Linked DNA regions of Lonchura striata. The protein of the gene in region 1 purifies or fractionates together with the protein of each later gene. This does not show direct contact. Links are inferred from orthologs where the notes say so. Each region holds a gene or a part of one and is shown in the gene's direction. Other genes may lie near its edges. The genes, in order: DYNC1I1 and BICD2.

Region 1 (8,251 bases):
CATTTTCATGATGTATGACATTCACACATCACCTTGGATGTACCACTGATTTTAATTTTGGTAAAGCTAAGCTTCAAGTTAATATTTGGGAGATCTCAGGAATTCTATAAAGGAGTAGTACCCTTTGGTATTTGCAAAAAATGTAAATTGTTGTTGTTTTAAATCAAACATAAAGTTCTGGACTTCAAACCAAAGGTGCTGTGGGGAAATGAGACAACCTTTTATAAAAAGAGCACAATAATTGTAAAGATAGCTGGGTGCTGCTGCTAATTCTGTAAACTCAGACTTTTCTTTTGTTCCCTTCAACAAATCTATTGAGTTCTCAGGAACTCAAAACAGAGGTGAGTGGAGACAACTGTGTAGTTTGGTCTTTAAGAGAGCATTCCAGATTCTGTGTTCCCTAAACTGTCCAGTCCTGCCTGAAGCCCATTTCATTTTCAGGGACTGCCACACAAACTATGGAGATGTCCTTTTGTAGCTTCTTCAGTAATTCAGAACATGAGCACAGTAGCAAAGCACAGTAAAATACTTCAAGCCTGAAGTCCTCTCCATGCTGCTGAGTCTTCATGACCTCTGCCAGGAAGTGTCTCCCAGAATGTTCCACTTCCTTCCCAGGTTAGCTGCTTTGCTGACAAGTTTCCAAGCCCTTCCCAGTATACTGAATCTTTTCAAATAAAAGGAATTGGTTGCATTACATGGCAAGCACCTGCTACTTACAAAGGCAGTAACAAAATTTCTGGAGCCTTTCTTTCTTTTGCAGGCCATTTCTGTACCTTGGTTACAGGTGCAAAATCAGAAGCTGGACAATTATGTGTTTTAACAGGCAGTCTCAGGTGTGAAGTCAAGTTAATGATTCCTATTTCAGATGTACAGAACTGTTGAATTTTTGGTGACAATGTTGTAGGAAAATGAGGAACAAAGGAACAAATCAAGAAGGCTTAGAAAAGAACCTGTTGCTAAAATAATTGTTTCTAGGAGCACACAGTTGCAACATGTTTGGAGAGTCACCCAAATCCAGAACAGCGTGGAACTCACCCACCTGCCACAGATCTCCCTTTACCTTCTACTTGTATACATCATCTCTTATTACTGATGCTTTTTCTGATAAAGAATTTATCCTTTTTAGGATATGTGGGAGTTTTTTTGCTTTGTACACGTGTTTCAGCAAAGATCTTAGAACTGGTAATCTGCCAATAGATCAATTGACAGAGGAATTATTAGCAACTGTGTACCAGATGCATTTAAAATCTTTCTTTTTTATCTTGAATGTACTGTGGATATTCAGACTTGTGGAAATTTCAACTCAGTGATCTGCCTGGAGATCTAACTGATTTCAGCAAACAGTAAATAAAGCCCTCCAATACTTTCCTAGTAACTTTTTTCCTTTTTAACTGAGCAACCACCCATACATTTCTTACATGAGTAACTAACTAGTTCACTTGTGAAGGACAGATTTTTGAAGGCATGTGGAATAGTGCCCTATAGTGACTTAGCTGCTGCAGCAATAAACCTGACTTCAGAAGTGATATTCCTCACTTTTTCTAAAATTTTCATTCTGCCTTTTGATCCTTTGTTTAAATCATTGCTTTTGAAAAGCTGGAAGGCATTTTGTAACATCCTCTGTTATTTGCCAAGCCTAGATTATGCCTACCATGCCAAGTGTCTAAAATGTACTTTCATTTCCACTAAGCCTTAGAAATGTCTGCTTTGAAATTAATTTTTAACCTTCAAGTGGCACAAACTTCCTAGAGGGTTTGCTCACTTATTAATGCCCGCTGTGATGTAGGAGTTTCTGGTGCCTAAGGCATGGAAATGCAATGCACTAATTATTACTATTTGTCTTATGTTGCATCATAAACAGTTATTCGTTTGCCAGAGCAATTTATACCCATCTTCATTAATAACTTAAATGTGAACAACTCTATATACAGTAACTTCAAAAAGAAAACATTGCAAATTGCTTTCCCTTGAACTTTTCCAATCTAGCAATTAACCACATATTGCACTTATTAATGTGCACACCCTCTTCTAGCTTACACACATTTTACATGTGTGTAAGTTTGAAGAGGGGAGACAGGCAAACAATGAATTTTTGTAATTTTAACAATAGCCTTTTTCTACACAATCCATAGTCTGTGATGGACCTCAGACTTTCCCTTAATCTTTGATTTCTCTTCAGATGACAGTGTGGTGGCTGTGTGTGTCCATGTAAAACTGACCTCTGCTGCAGAGAAGGCAGCTTATTAGACATCTGTAATTGCCGACCAGTTTGCCCTCTGTTGTTCTCACAAATCAATCTGGGGCTACAATAACCACCTTCTGAACTCACAGAATGAGAACATAAAAGTTTTGAAAATAATCTTTACTCTGTGCTACTGCACTTTCACCTGATGACTAAGAATATGTAATCAGAAATGCTACTAGCAGAATATATTGAGTTGGATAATATTATGGATTTGTGTTTAATGGGAAAATGTAAAATTAGTGTGGTATACTGAAATTACTGGATATTTTTCATTAAAATGAGTTACAAATACATTATTGATCATAAATATTTTGTTTTGAAAAGTGAATATAATCATATCTTCTTGGTGTATGAAGATTTTATCTCTGCTTTGTAAAATTAGTGACAACTAATAGAGACCTTTCATGCCTAGAGCAAGAAATCCACAAAAATGGTGAGACCTTTTGTTATGGAAGCTTAGAGAAGAAAATGGTGAGATTGAGGTCATAGAGGACAGAGCATCACTTATAGGGAAATTTGTTATTCCTTCAGAGAATAACAAATTTCCCTTCTTAACTGGGCTGCTCATAAATTTTTCTTGAGTTCCTGCAGGTTGTTACTTGTAGGAACATCTAGCCTTTACTATCCAGGATTGATTCTCTCCAAATTTTCTTACAACAGTTTATTGTGAGGAGAAATTTGTGGGTTTGTTAATATACTACCCTGGCCACTGAAGTTATTTCTGAATTCTTCTGTATACAATTCCCCATTTTAAAGTAATAATTTTACTAAATCTGTCATTCTGTTTGATGAGGATTTTTAAACATTTTTTCTTTGACACATACACTTACATCTTTTATTTTTATACTTTTAAAAGACTGAATCACCTCTGGCAAATGTGAATGTAATAGATATCAAAATTGTGTCCCATTGAACTGGGGTTTACAGGATTTTTTAAAGAAACATCTCATGTAGTTATTACTAGAACACAAAATATCATTACTCTGTAACAAAAAAATTAGGGCTTAACAAGCTCAGGAAACACATTTATGACATATATTAGTATGCCTGGTATCATCATGCAATGTGATGTCATGATATGTGTGTGATACCATGGCATCATGGTTATATGGATAGGACAGCATCTTAACAATAGCAGAATCTCATCAGGCTCCATGGACAACCAGCCTCATCTGTCAATTCAAGAATATTAAATTACTCCAAGGCCCTCTTAGGTCAGGAATAATTTAAAGCAATCTGCTGAGTTTGCAGGGAATTTGCAAGTGGCATGCAATTCAAAGGAACCTAAACAAACCCTATGGCATTTGTGTTAAAGCTAAGGCAAACTCCCCAACACTTTTAAAAGCAAAAATCAGTTTCTGAAGTTCAATTTCAGGTGTTTGATATTGAAAGGGCCTTGTTTTAATGAATAGTTGCAAACCAAATGTGCCAAACAAAAAACTTTTCAAATTGTGCCTTTAAAACTACAGGGTTGCTTTCCACATTCTCCAACATGCAGAAGCAGAAGATGCTGCTCTTGAAGGACTTCACAGGAGAGCGAAAGATTTATCATTCCTGATCCTGATTCAACTCCAATTAAATTGAGAAACTGTTATTTCCTAACTGTATCCACACCAGCAATGGAGGCTTTTGCTCCTTTTCAGGATTTTTTTCTCCTGGCCAGGTGCAGTCTGTCTAGGTCTGGCAGGAACTGGAGGTGATGTGAATTCTTTATGGCTTTCCAGTGGGCTGGGTATATACTTTACTCTTCCCAGGACAAGCCCTAGACCTCGAATGACAGTGGCTGGAATAAGTGTTTCCCACCAAAGGAAAACAAGAGATTAGGATCCAGGGACAGGGTTCTGGAGGTACCTCTTGGACCAGAGGGATAGGCAACACTGAGTGGTACATCTAGGACATCATGTTTTCAAAGAACAAACCAAAATGTTTTGTTCTTTAAAACAACCAATGGTACCAAAAGGTACGTGTTTTCCACGTGTGTGGGCAGCATACCTGAGTGCAATAGGGGAGCAGGAAGCTGGGTTATCTCCACTGGAGGTGGGTGCTATTTTGCAGGAGCATGGACTATCCTAAATAGCTCTGCTTGGCACCTCTCCCCCAGGAGATGGATATGTCTGTATGTGGAGAGAAGCAGGGGCAATGCTAGAAATCTGGCCCTCTTGTCTGGTACCTGTACCCATGAATGGTATGAGGAAACACGGGCAAAACAAAACGTCTGCCTTTGGGCAGTCTTGTCCTTATTTAGCCATGAAAGCATCTGTTCTGGAGCTCTCCCTGTTCTTCGAGAAAGGGACAGGACTAAGCAGGAGCCTGGAGCCATGACAGTTGACTAGGCTGCTACGGGAGTGATGGCCAGGCTGCCGAGGGGGTGACGGTGAGGCTGGCCTGGGAGGATATTCTAGGCAGCTTAGAGGGCGATGGCTAAGCCTCTGTGGGGCTGCCAGCTGCTGCCATCAGGATGGTGGTGGGGATGCTGCCTGGGCTGTCGTGGGGCTGCCGGTTGCTACCATGCGATGGTGTCAGGATGCTGTCTGTGGAGGCGGCGGTGGATGCTGCCTGGGCTGTCGTGGGGCTGACGGTGAAGCCGGTGTTGTGCTGACAGCCGCGCAGCTGCCGGCTCGGCTGCTCCCGGGGCGAAGCCTGCGCCACTGTGGGGGTGACACAGGGGAACATCGCGGAGCCGAGCGAGCGCACTTCAGGCCGGAGTTGCCGGGGGGCCGGGCGGGGACACTGAGCCGGCCCCTCCGCCGCCACCTGCCCCGCGGCCCCGCCCCGGCCCCGGGGCGGCAGAGGGGGTGTCTGTACCGGGGCCGCGCGGGCGGAGGAGGAGGAGGAGGCGGGAGGAGGAAAGCGGCAGCAGCAGCTCTCGGGAGGAGCCTGTCCACCGTGAGACAGCATATTCAGCGGCGGCGGCGGCGGTGCTGCCGCAGCGGCGGGCAGCACGGCTCGGCTCGGCTCGGCTCGGCACGACAGGGCGCAGCTACTGGCAGCAGCCCTTCAGTCAGCGGGGCATCCCTCTGCTCCCCCGGCGGCGCGGGCTCGGTGAGGGCTGCAAGGCGCCGGGAGCCGCTCCGCATCTCCCGGGCGCCGGCGGAGGTGAGGCACCCGCGGGGCGGCGGGGCCGGGACGCGGCGGGGCCGGACCGGAGGGGCGAGTGGGGGCTGCCCTTGGGCCCGGCGCTGGCGGCGGAGGAGCGGGGCGGGAGTCGCTCCGCGGGATGCGCAGCGGCCGCGGAGCCTGGTGCGGCCGCCGGAGGCGCTCCCCGGGCAGGCGGCCCGGCTGGGCGAGCGGGCATCCCGGCTGGGCGGGCGGGCATCCCGGCTGGGCGGGCGGGCATCCCGGCTGGGCGAGCGGGCATCCCGGCTGGGCGAGCGGGCATCCCGGCTGGGCGAGCGGGCATCCCGGCTGGGCGGGCGGGCATCCCGGCTGGGCGGGCGGGCATCCCGACTGGGCGAGCGGGCATCCCGGCTGGGCGAGCGGGCATCCCGGCTGGACTAGCGGGCATCCCGGCTGGGCGGGCGGGCATCCCGGCTGGGCGGGCGGGCATCCCCGGCTGCCCGCGGAGCCGGCCAGCCCTCGCCTTGGGTGGGCTCTGGCGGCCTGGCGCTCGTCGGCGGGGGGGCTGCGGTGAGCGAGCCTCGGCACCTGCTCCGGTCCCTGGGGCGCCTCCCGGCCCCGGGGCTGAGTGACGGCCGCAGGCTCTCGGCTGCCGCCTGAGCGCCCAACAGCTTAAAGCAAAAGGGGGTGGTAAAAGTTTTTCATCTGTAATTCTTCACACAGCGTGAGCGGTAGCGGGTTTGCTCAAGTCCAGGACGACAGCGGACAGTAAATAGATCTTTCATTTAAGGTAATTCCCTAAAAGGGTGAGAGATGGAGGGAGTCAGCCAGAGGCCTTTTTTCACTGGTAGTCCAGTGAAATAGATTTTCAAAAGGATGATATTGCAGTTACATCATCCCGGGAATCCCCTATGGTCAGCAGAGAAGAACATAAGGCCCCAGATTTCCTAGACAAAGCCCCTGTTTTATGAACTGGAAGAAAGTTTGTTTTTCTGTCCATACTGCCATTGACAGAAAGTAAATATTTGAGCTATAAATGCATATAACATAAGGATTCTTGGCAGATCAAACAATCTAGCCTGATAATATAGAGGGCATGAGATGGAAGGACCTGACATGAAGCTGGCATATGACTTTCATACCTGGAAATTTATCCTGACATACAGGATTTTGTCAGTGCTTCACTTCTGATTGAAGTCTTTAAATAACATTGGAAATTGCACTAAATATCATGAAGCATGGGACTGCAAAACCTGTTTCAGAATGGAAATCCCAGGTCCCAGGACTGCCTGCGTCTTGATAGATGGTGTTATCAGAGCAATTGGGGAATTTAAGTTCTGTTACCACCAATGTGTTTTGTTGAAGTGCCTCATCTGTTCTTGCTAAGTTAAGGGGGAAGGTTACCTGTTTGCGATTCTGATTCTTTTAAGCTCTTTTTTTTTTTGTTTTTATTTTCTTTTGAGGGGGCATCTCTAGTAACATTCTCCATATTTAGTGAAGGCAAATAAAATTCCTTTTATAATTTGCAGCATTTTTCTGCAAGAAATGGTTTCTTTAATACAAACTTTGGGGCTACATCTGGGTCTTCACCCAGATGGGAGTGCTCACTCACCAGTGCATCCTCTGCTTTGTTTTCTTTTCCCAAAATCATCCATTTATAGTTCATAAAAATACAAAAATGTGTTGTCTCTTCTGAACTTTCTCTGTGGACAGACTGATTTGAAGATTGGGACTTACCATCATCTTCCTTGTTAAGCAGGACTTCTGAGGGCCAGGTATATGGAGATCCAAATGATGGTTTAGAGTTAGATTGGCTAGATTTCTCTCAGCTCTAAGCACCTCTGCCTCTAATTAGTCTACCATAAAAATTCACTAACTGTAGTGCTGCCTTATCCACAGTTTAGGAGAGGAATCTTTAAAGGAGCAGCAATAAAACACACCTTACACATGCAGTAATTACTGGAAGTTTGGAGATCTGGCTACTCAAAGAATACACAGGGAAATATTCCTTTGTAGCCAGCAGATCTTAAATTAAGAAGCTGACCTTCCAGCTCTTTCTATAGGAGGAAGGGCAGTGAACTGCCCTCCTTTGTGATGCCTTTCAGTGGGTATTTTTTTCATTATTGGAATGTGTTTGTTTTTCAGTGTATTTTTCCAACTTCAGGTTTCTAGTTCCTGTTATGCCTCCCATAGATAAAAGCTTTGCTTTAGCAGCTGTCTTCAGTGTAGATATTCTAAATGATGCAATGAGAACTTACCTGCCTTATTTTTAAATAAGTTAACAGATTCGGTCTCTTGGTCTTCTTTTCTTTTGTAAGACAGGTTTCAAAAAGCATTCCTTGCTGCCCTCTGTTTTCCAGAATGCAAGAAGAGAGAGGGGGAATACTAGACTGAGCTAGTTGCTCTAATAATGGGCTGTGTTAGAGGCACCACCATTGCAGGATATTGGACAATGATGTGAAATGGGCTGGAAGGGAAAAAGATAAGGGATTGAAGTAGAAAAAACATTTAGAGTAGAGAAAGGCAATATTTTTTTGAAAACTTCATTTACTCTTGCTAGTGTATCAGTTAATCATGTGGTATCTTTCAGCTCCTCAAACTTAACTTCTCACAGAGATTTTAAACATATTTGTGGTCACTCTCTAGGACTACTTAACCAGGGCTATGCCTCAAGTGCCCTGTTGAGCTCCTTTGGCTTGGTTTGACTGGCAGCAGAATTAGGAATCTTTCAGAGTTACCAACACCTAGTGCCAAAATGAGTTGCTGCTTGGAGGTGGTGGTGGGATGTTAACAGGATTGTCCTCCTTGTCATTTCCATGGGCTTTAATTTTCAGAGAAGTTGGAGGGAAGTAACACTGAAATCCTCACTGAGGTGCACAGGGTAATTCATATCTGCCAAGATAGAGTCTCAGGCTTTCTGCAGCCATAGTCAGACATAATGACCTCTCA
Region 2 (7,183 bases), on another chromosome or scaffold:
TGTCTGCAGTGACCCCAATTTTAAGCACAAGTTAGACTGGTTTACACATTCAGATACCTCAATGTTTTCCAGCATTGGATTATAGTGCCTATCTGCTTTGGGATTTGGACTGAGGTTAAATAAAATGAGCATTGCAGGGTTTTGCCTTTGCTATGACTTTTCCCCTAGGGAAAAATTTTTCTGCAGGTTAATTTCCACAAGAAGAAACACTGTCCAAATTTATTCTAGCATTTAAGATGGTTCTTGTATAATTCTACCACTTTGTTCTCAGTGGATAGCTTTAAAATCTCAACAGGAAAAAGAAGAGCAACAATCTCCAGGTGTTGTTGTCATGATTTGTCACTGGCACAATGCCAGCGCCCCCATGAAATTGCAACCTCTCAATTGAATTCTGTGAAATGCGATCGAGAGCAGAGCAAAAGTAGGTCCAAACTCAAGGGAAAAAAAACTTTATTCAGCTACTACTACTATACTACTATAAAGGAAAAAAAAAGAAGAAAAAACACACACAAAATTCAAAATGAAAACCTTTCAAAACATTCCTCCTCCCACCACCCAACTCCAACAAACCACAGTGAGACACAACCTGGACCCCCAATCAGGTTCCCACTCTCCAGTCAGTCAATACTCAGTCCATTGAGGAAAAGAGGAGTCCCTCCCGTGCCACAGACCCCCCAAGAAACTCAGCTGCCACGTCCTGTTTCCACGTCACTCATGGCACCGCCCGGAGAAAAAGTTTGCCGTGGTGACCCTCTCCTTTCCATGCACAGTGTTCTCACCACCAATGCATGGATGGATGGAGAGACTGCTTTTAGGATTTTTCCTTTCACGGATGCTCTGCCAAGAGGGAAAAAACAACAGTTTTTTTCATTTTTGGGACCGCAGTCTCCCCCATTTCCCCCTAGCACCAAGGGTCCAAGAACAGAAATCTTCTCTTCTTCTGCTCTGAAGACAGGGGGCACTACCACAAACCTCCCTAACTTTTCTCTGTTTGCTCCACTTCTGACTTTTCCCAGCTGAAGCAGGTCTCTTTGGCTCACTGGTATCCTCCTAAAATACAGTCTCTCTTGGAGGAGAAAATCAGTTCAGTCTGTGGCTACCAAGAAAAAGTCCAGCCAAAAGCCACTCCATCATCGCCCCCCAACCTTCTTTCCCTCACAATCTCAGGTCCCAGGCTGTCTCTCCTTCAAACCGAGAAGTAATATTTCACAAAGCCTTCATTTCTCAAGGAAGGGTTAAAAGTCCCAACTCCCAAGGATGGCTCGCTGCCCAGGCTCCGGCTCCCACAGTGGCTGGGCACTTTGTGGCACCCCCTCTCTTCTCCTTCCCTGGCGTACTGCTGACAAACTGCTGCTTTCTCTCTCTCTCTCTCTCTCTCTCTCTCCTCTGTGGGAGAACAGAGACATCCCCAATTTCTCCACCCTTCCATCCATCTGTAGGGGGTTCCAGCCCCCTCCACCCTCCAGCCTACCTCAGTCAGGCCTTCCCCTCCCCCATCCAGCCACGGGCCGGGCACTGCACGCTGACCGGAACCAAAGAGACCGAGTTCTCCTGGGAACTCTGCTTTTAACCCCTCTGTGTTCTCAGAGGCGTGTCCACCTTCAATTGGTCGATATCCAAATTGACCTCTTCCTTCCAAAAAAATTCTTTTTCCGTGTCAAACCACGACAGTTGTGTAAGTCTGTATCACCAAAGTACACTTGGCCATGACACCTTGAATCAGTGGGGTACCAGCTAAGCCTTTGCATTGATGGAGTTCAGGGACATGACCTGGGGAAATGGGCAATGGTCTCTGGCTGTGCTCAGGAGCAGGTGATGGGCACTAGCCAGGTTGTACTCCGCCACTCATTATACAAGCTTTTATTATCCTGCATCATTACCTTGAAGGATGATGGGAGCCTTAACTTTGACATGTGACTCCAGTTTTCTAAAAGGGGGCAGGAATGCTTTCAAATTAGCTATTGCAGTATTTATAATTTCTGCCTTTGCATCTTGGGCAGTTTATAAAATAATAAAGTTTGAAACCTAGAAAAAAGCAATAGTTCTAAATATGACCTAGAAAACAAATTATCCAGCAAAGTCCCTTGTGCTATGATGAGTTGATCATCTCGTCTCTATGAATCACTCAAACTAGTCAGATCTCACAATTCACTTGTAATCCCAGAAATATTCAGGATGTGAACTGAAGTTCTGTGTCCTGAGAGCAAGTCATTACATGCAGGTTTCAGTTTAGGAGAGGGAGGAGCACTGAAGGGTAGCTAATGTGCTTCAGCCCAGAGCTGCAGAGAAAACCTGGAATGAAGGCTCGGAAAGTATGAGGTGAAAGAAAATAAGCCAGTATTTATTATGAAAAATATCTTAATTATGAATCAGTTGTGAATGGGTGCAACTAGCAATGCTACCTGCTTGGGCAGACAGAAGAAAAACATAAAAGGCCATGAAGAAATCCTAATACTGAAAAACAGAGTGTGGAGGAGAGGTAATGCTGTTATTTTTCTCCCTTATCTTTATCAAAGAATCAGAATGTTCAAACCCCCAAAAATATTCTGTGACAGTCATGATGGTATAGAGGTACACAAGAATGAAAAGACTTCTACTAAGAATCCTGAAAGTAAAAAACTAAAGCAATTTCATACGCACACTCCAGGCTGAGGACATTGATTTGCTGCTTCTAAGGTCTGGGTGACTGAGTGTCACATCAGTGCTCAGAGGGCAAATGCATATCTGCACCTGATGCACAGGGAGCTGCAGGAGGTGTCAGGACCCTGAAGAAAAATTGACTAAGGCAGCTTCATGACTAACAGGCAGCATTCAACCATGACACAGCTTATTAAAGGGATAAGTGCGTAGGCAGAAGTTCAAAGTAGCTTGAAAAAACCCTGCAGCTGTGAGTAAATATGTTGCTTCATGTTTGAGACCTTGTGGAGTGCTCAAACATGTAATTGTTTTTATTATGCTTGCTATTTGCTCACCAGTTCATTACTGATTGTTTTTGACACTGAAAGAAAGTCCAAGCCGCACTTGCTGTATGAAAGGATGATGAAGCTGTAGGGCTCCTGACCATGGGAGTGAAGCATCTCCCCACCCCACAGGGACACACCCCCCCCACCTTTATGGGGCTGCTTAGGAATTGCAATGGCCTAACTAGTAGAGGTTTGTCTCTGTTCAGTCATCACTATGCTTTAAAAATTACTTCTTCCCACGGTGCCCCAATCAGTGTCCCAATCCCTGTGCTTTTGCCACCAAACATGCCCAATAGGTGCAACCTGGGGCAAAGACTGATGGCATTTTCCTCACAAGGTGGCAAATCCTTTGCAGGCAGCACAGTACAGCTGCCCAAGTGTCACTGCCCCATAGCTGGTCACGGCACTGGCTCTTCATGCGATCTATCCGTCCTTTCATCAGGTAGCTCAGCCATAGGGGAAGACCTTGCCCCGCGGCCGTGGTTATCCTCGGAATGACTCGGGGGACGTGGCTTGGTCCCTGTCGGTGAGCAGAGAACGCCTTGTAGCAGGTATTCCACCTGTAGATGCAGAACACCGCTCGGTATGGTGTGGGGCTGGGGCCAGCCTTCTCCTGTGACCCTCTGTCCTCTCCGTGCTGCTGTGGCACCGCCCGCCGCACCGGAACGTCTCCCCGACACACACGCTCTGGTGCACGGGCTATCTTTCATACCCAGCCGATTCCGACGCTTTCTCAAACCCGCCTCGAAAGCCCTCCGGAGCGTGGTCCGGGCCGCCAGGGTGTGTACACGGGCTCTGTGCATGGGGTATATGCCCTGGTCCCGGGGCCTGTGCCCGAATTTGTATCCGGGGTCAGTAGGGGGGGGTCCTGAGGTGCGTTCGCTGTCGGGCCACGCCGCCCCCGGGCAACGCCGGCCCTACGCTCTCGCCGTCGCGCTACCCCGCGTCGCCCGGCAGAGGTCGCGCTCCTCCCCGCCCGCCACCACACCCACTTGTCGCGGTGTTTGTCGGGAGCTGTAGTCCGGCGAGACGCGCGGCGCGCGGCGCGTCGAGAACCGAGGACTCCCGCTCCCAGTGTCCCGCGGGGCGCCGGCCCGGCCGTGCCTTTTGAATGATTTCACTGCGCTCGGCGCTTGCGGCGAGCGGGTTCCAGGGAGGATCTGCGGCGGGAGCAGCGCGCGCTAGGCCCGTCGATGGCGGCCCGAGCGGGCCCTGCCCTAGCTGTCCGCGGGCCGTGCCGCTGTTAGAAGTAGTAAACTTAGGTTAGGAGGGCTGCGCGTTCAGCCTTTCGCCCAACCGCCTCGGCGGTCGGAGGTCCCTTCGCCGACATGTCGCAGGCCATGGAGGAGGAGGAGTACGCCCGGCTGGTGATGGAGTCGGAGCCCGAGTGGCTGCGGAGCGAGATCAAGCGTCTCTTCCAGGAGCTGGGCGAGACCACCCGGGAGAAGATCCAGGCGGCGGAGTACGGGCTGGCAGTGCTGGAGGAGAAGCAGCAGTTGAAGCAGCAGTATGAGGAGCTAGAGCTGGAGTACGAGACCATCCGCACCGAGATGGAGCAGCTAAAGGAGGTGAGGCGGGGGCGGTGGCAGGTGGGCGGCCTGGATCCGGGCGCGGCCGTGGCGGGTGCAAGGGTGAAGGCAGCGCGGAGCAGTGGGAACGGGGCTGGCTTGGAGTCAGGGGCCGGCAACCTGAGGGGCCCTGGGGCTGCTGTGGGGCGACCGGCGGGTTCCTAGGCTTCGGCCTGGCTCCGGCAGAGCGTTTGCCCCTCCCCAAAATGACAGCTCCCAGGTGCCTAGTTGCGGGCCAGCCCAGAAGAGGGAAGGGATGGAAAAAAAGGCCTTTCTGCTCCGAGCCCCGCTCCTGTGAAGGGGGATATGGGAAACGGGTGGACGCTTTTCTCTTTCCGTCCCGTTCCGTTTCGTCTCAGGATCCGGTAGGTGGGCCGCCCCAGGACTGCTGCAGGGCGTGAAGCCCGGTTGGGGTTGCCCCTCCCGGGGGTTGGGGCTGTCGCCGCCGCGCCCCCGGGCGAAACACAGGCAGGCGGCGGGGGGCGAAGGCCGGGGCCAAGGTGCGGTGGCGATGCTGTCATATGCCTGCTTTCGTGTGGAAGGAGAAATCTTACGTTGGTGTTAATCACTTCCTCAATGGGGACCGCCACAAAAATAGTAGAGCAGACTTCAGTTCATATAACTTTGTTTTGGTGCAGGTCCTACCGTTGGCATATTTTTAAATTACTTCCTATTTTAAGGGGAATTCCAGATCTAATCTGTACAGGAGAGTAAAGTTTGTCAGTAGAAACGCTGTATGAGGCAATTTGCACGTTAAGTTTTTCTCGTGCAAGATCTCTAGGTGTAGAATGTGGGAAAAGTGCTGTCCAGGCATGTAGACTTGAGCTTTGCACTCCTTATGAGCTGATTCTGTCAGCCCACTGTAGAGCATGGCCCATGGGAACTTGTCTGCATATAGCTTTGTTTGGTTCAGTGATTTGGCATACTGGCAAACCTTGTGCTGCTTTTCAGCTGATTTAGGCCTTGCCTTGATTGCAAAACATCTGATACAGCCTAAGAGGTGAATATAGGTGGATTTGACCTGTACAAATTGTATCCAATGGAGCTTAGCTTTAGTTTATTCAGTTGGAGATGGATTTTAAGTAAAATCAGAATACAGTATTTCAAAGGAAAAGTAAATCCTTGTAGCAGACTGGTACAAAATCAGCTGAATTTGTGAATGCCCTCCCTTCCTGCTTACTATATATCTTTTAGTCTTGTAAATAAAGCTTTATTTTGCTTTTATTGCATTAAACAAGCATAAGCAAAGAGGTTAACTACTTTGAATTACATGGCTATAAACTTGTTAACTAAATAAGCTGAACGGATATGCTGCTGTTCCTAAAGCCACTTGAGACCAGCACAGCAGCATACAGGAGCAGAAACTTGGAAGTCAAGGGCAGAGGCAGTTGTAGAGTTGAGCTCAAGGGAGAGAAAGTCAGTAAACTCAGTTGATAGGTGGAATGCGAGACATAGCGTGGAGAGGCTATAGGAATAGCCCAACCTCATTCAGCAAGGCAGTGCCTGACACACCAGTGGGAGCAGGATGCCTCCATCACAGGTAGTGGCTTTAGTCACTGGGCTCTGCTATGTGTGTTTGGGCATTACATGTTTTGACTTGCAGATGAAAAAAAGCTTGATGGTACTGTCTTTTCATTCTTTTAGGGCTGTAACAAGTGAAAGGCTTGTAAAAGAGATTAAAAAGAAAAAAGAAAAGCAGAATCAGCAATGATTCACTCTTTTTTGCTTTTAACATTTTGAAGGATTTGCTTTGTGTGTTAATGTCCCACTCTAATTAAGTCAAAACCTGGGAAGCAGACAATTCTCGGAGAACAGCTTAAGGACTCTGATAGCTTACTCAGGGAAAGAGCATTGCTCCTCTAGCTTTCTTGTGATGCTGTGCAGGAATCTGATTTGCTGTAGATCTTGTAAACCTTTAGCAGATGTATGAAGTGTATGCTCAGAGGAGGAGTTTATCATCATGCTGTTTTATGCAACTTCTTGTTTTTCCCACACTCAGCTAGAGGAGCGCTGCATACAAGACTTATTACATGTCACGCTCCAACCTAAAGGGATTACTTAAGTTGTAACCCTAAGGGGTTACTTAAGTTGTTCTTGGGGAATGTGGGAGATTGATGTGAAACTAGAACTATATTGCTTTCCAGCTCTTGCTTATTAACTGTAACTTCATGCAGGCTTTTAAGATACAGCCCTTTTACTCTCTATAGAGGTTACTTTGTTCATCTATGTTGAGAGAGCTAAGCGGCACAAGGCCATGTTAGGCAGGGTGTGGGGCAAGCATGCGGAGGTTTTCTGTCCTGCTGGGTATTGTAGATTTGGATATGCTTTAATTAGTTTGATATTATGAATAACTCCTGTATCACGGCCCTGTTCATACTGTAAGTAAATAGGTTCAGAGCACGGGAACTTTGTAATGCAGTTTGTTGAAAGTACAGGCTTTTCTGCTATAGTCATCAGATCTTTCTGGCCAGATTCTCTTTCTTGCCATCCAGTGAAATTCAGAAATTTCAGAGCCTTAATCTCCACTGTTGTATCCCTTTGGTGAGTGTGAATGGCATTGTCAGAACCATTTGGCTCTCATTTGGTAAAGGTGTCAGTGTACTCAGTATTTGCAATCCAAGTTGCCCTGGTGAAAATGGGGAGCTGCTCTGT

What was found.
Region 2: the proteins of DYNC1I1 (region 1) and BICD2 purify together in Homo sapiens (affinity purification with western blotting; 4 studies listed by BioGRID and IntAct, with this or other methods). This does not show direct contact. The link is inferred for Lonchura striata from reciprocal best matches to the Homo sapiens genes DYNC1I1 and BICD2.

Annotation. Positions count from the first base shown.
Region 1 is NC_134603.1:132,300,730-132,308,980, reverse strand, and holds the start of DYNC1I1 (cytoplasmic dynein 1 intermediate chain 1), read left to right. Parts: upstream 1-4,997; 5' UTR 4,998-5,341; intron 5,342-6,025; 5' UTR 6,026-6,092; intron 6,093-8,251. UniProt on the Homo sapiens protein: Acts as one of several non-catalytic accessory components of the cytoplasmic dynein 1 complex that are thought to be involved in linking dynein to cargos and to adapter proteins that regulate dynein function.
Region 2 is NC_134614.1:541,722-548,904, forward strand, and holds the start of BICD2 (protein bicaudal D homolog 2), read left to right. Parts: upstream 1-4,062; 5' UTR 4,063-4,291; coding exon 4,292-4,531; intron 4,532-7,183. UniProt on the Homo sapiens protein: Acts as an adapter protein linking the dynein motor complex to various cargos and converts dynein from a non-processive to a highly processive motor in the presence of dynactin.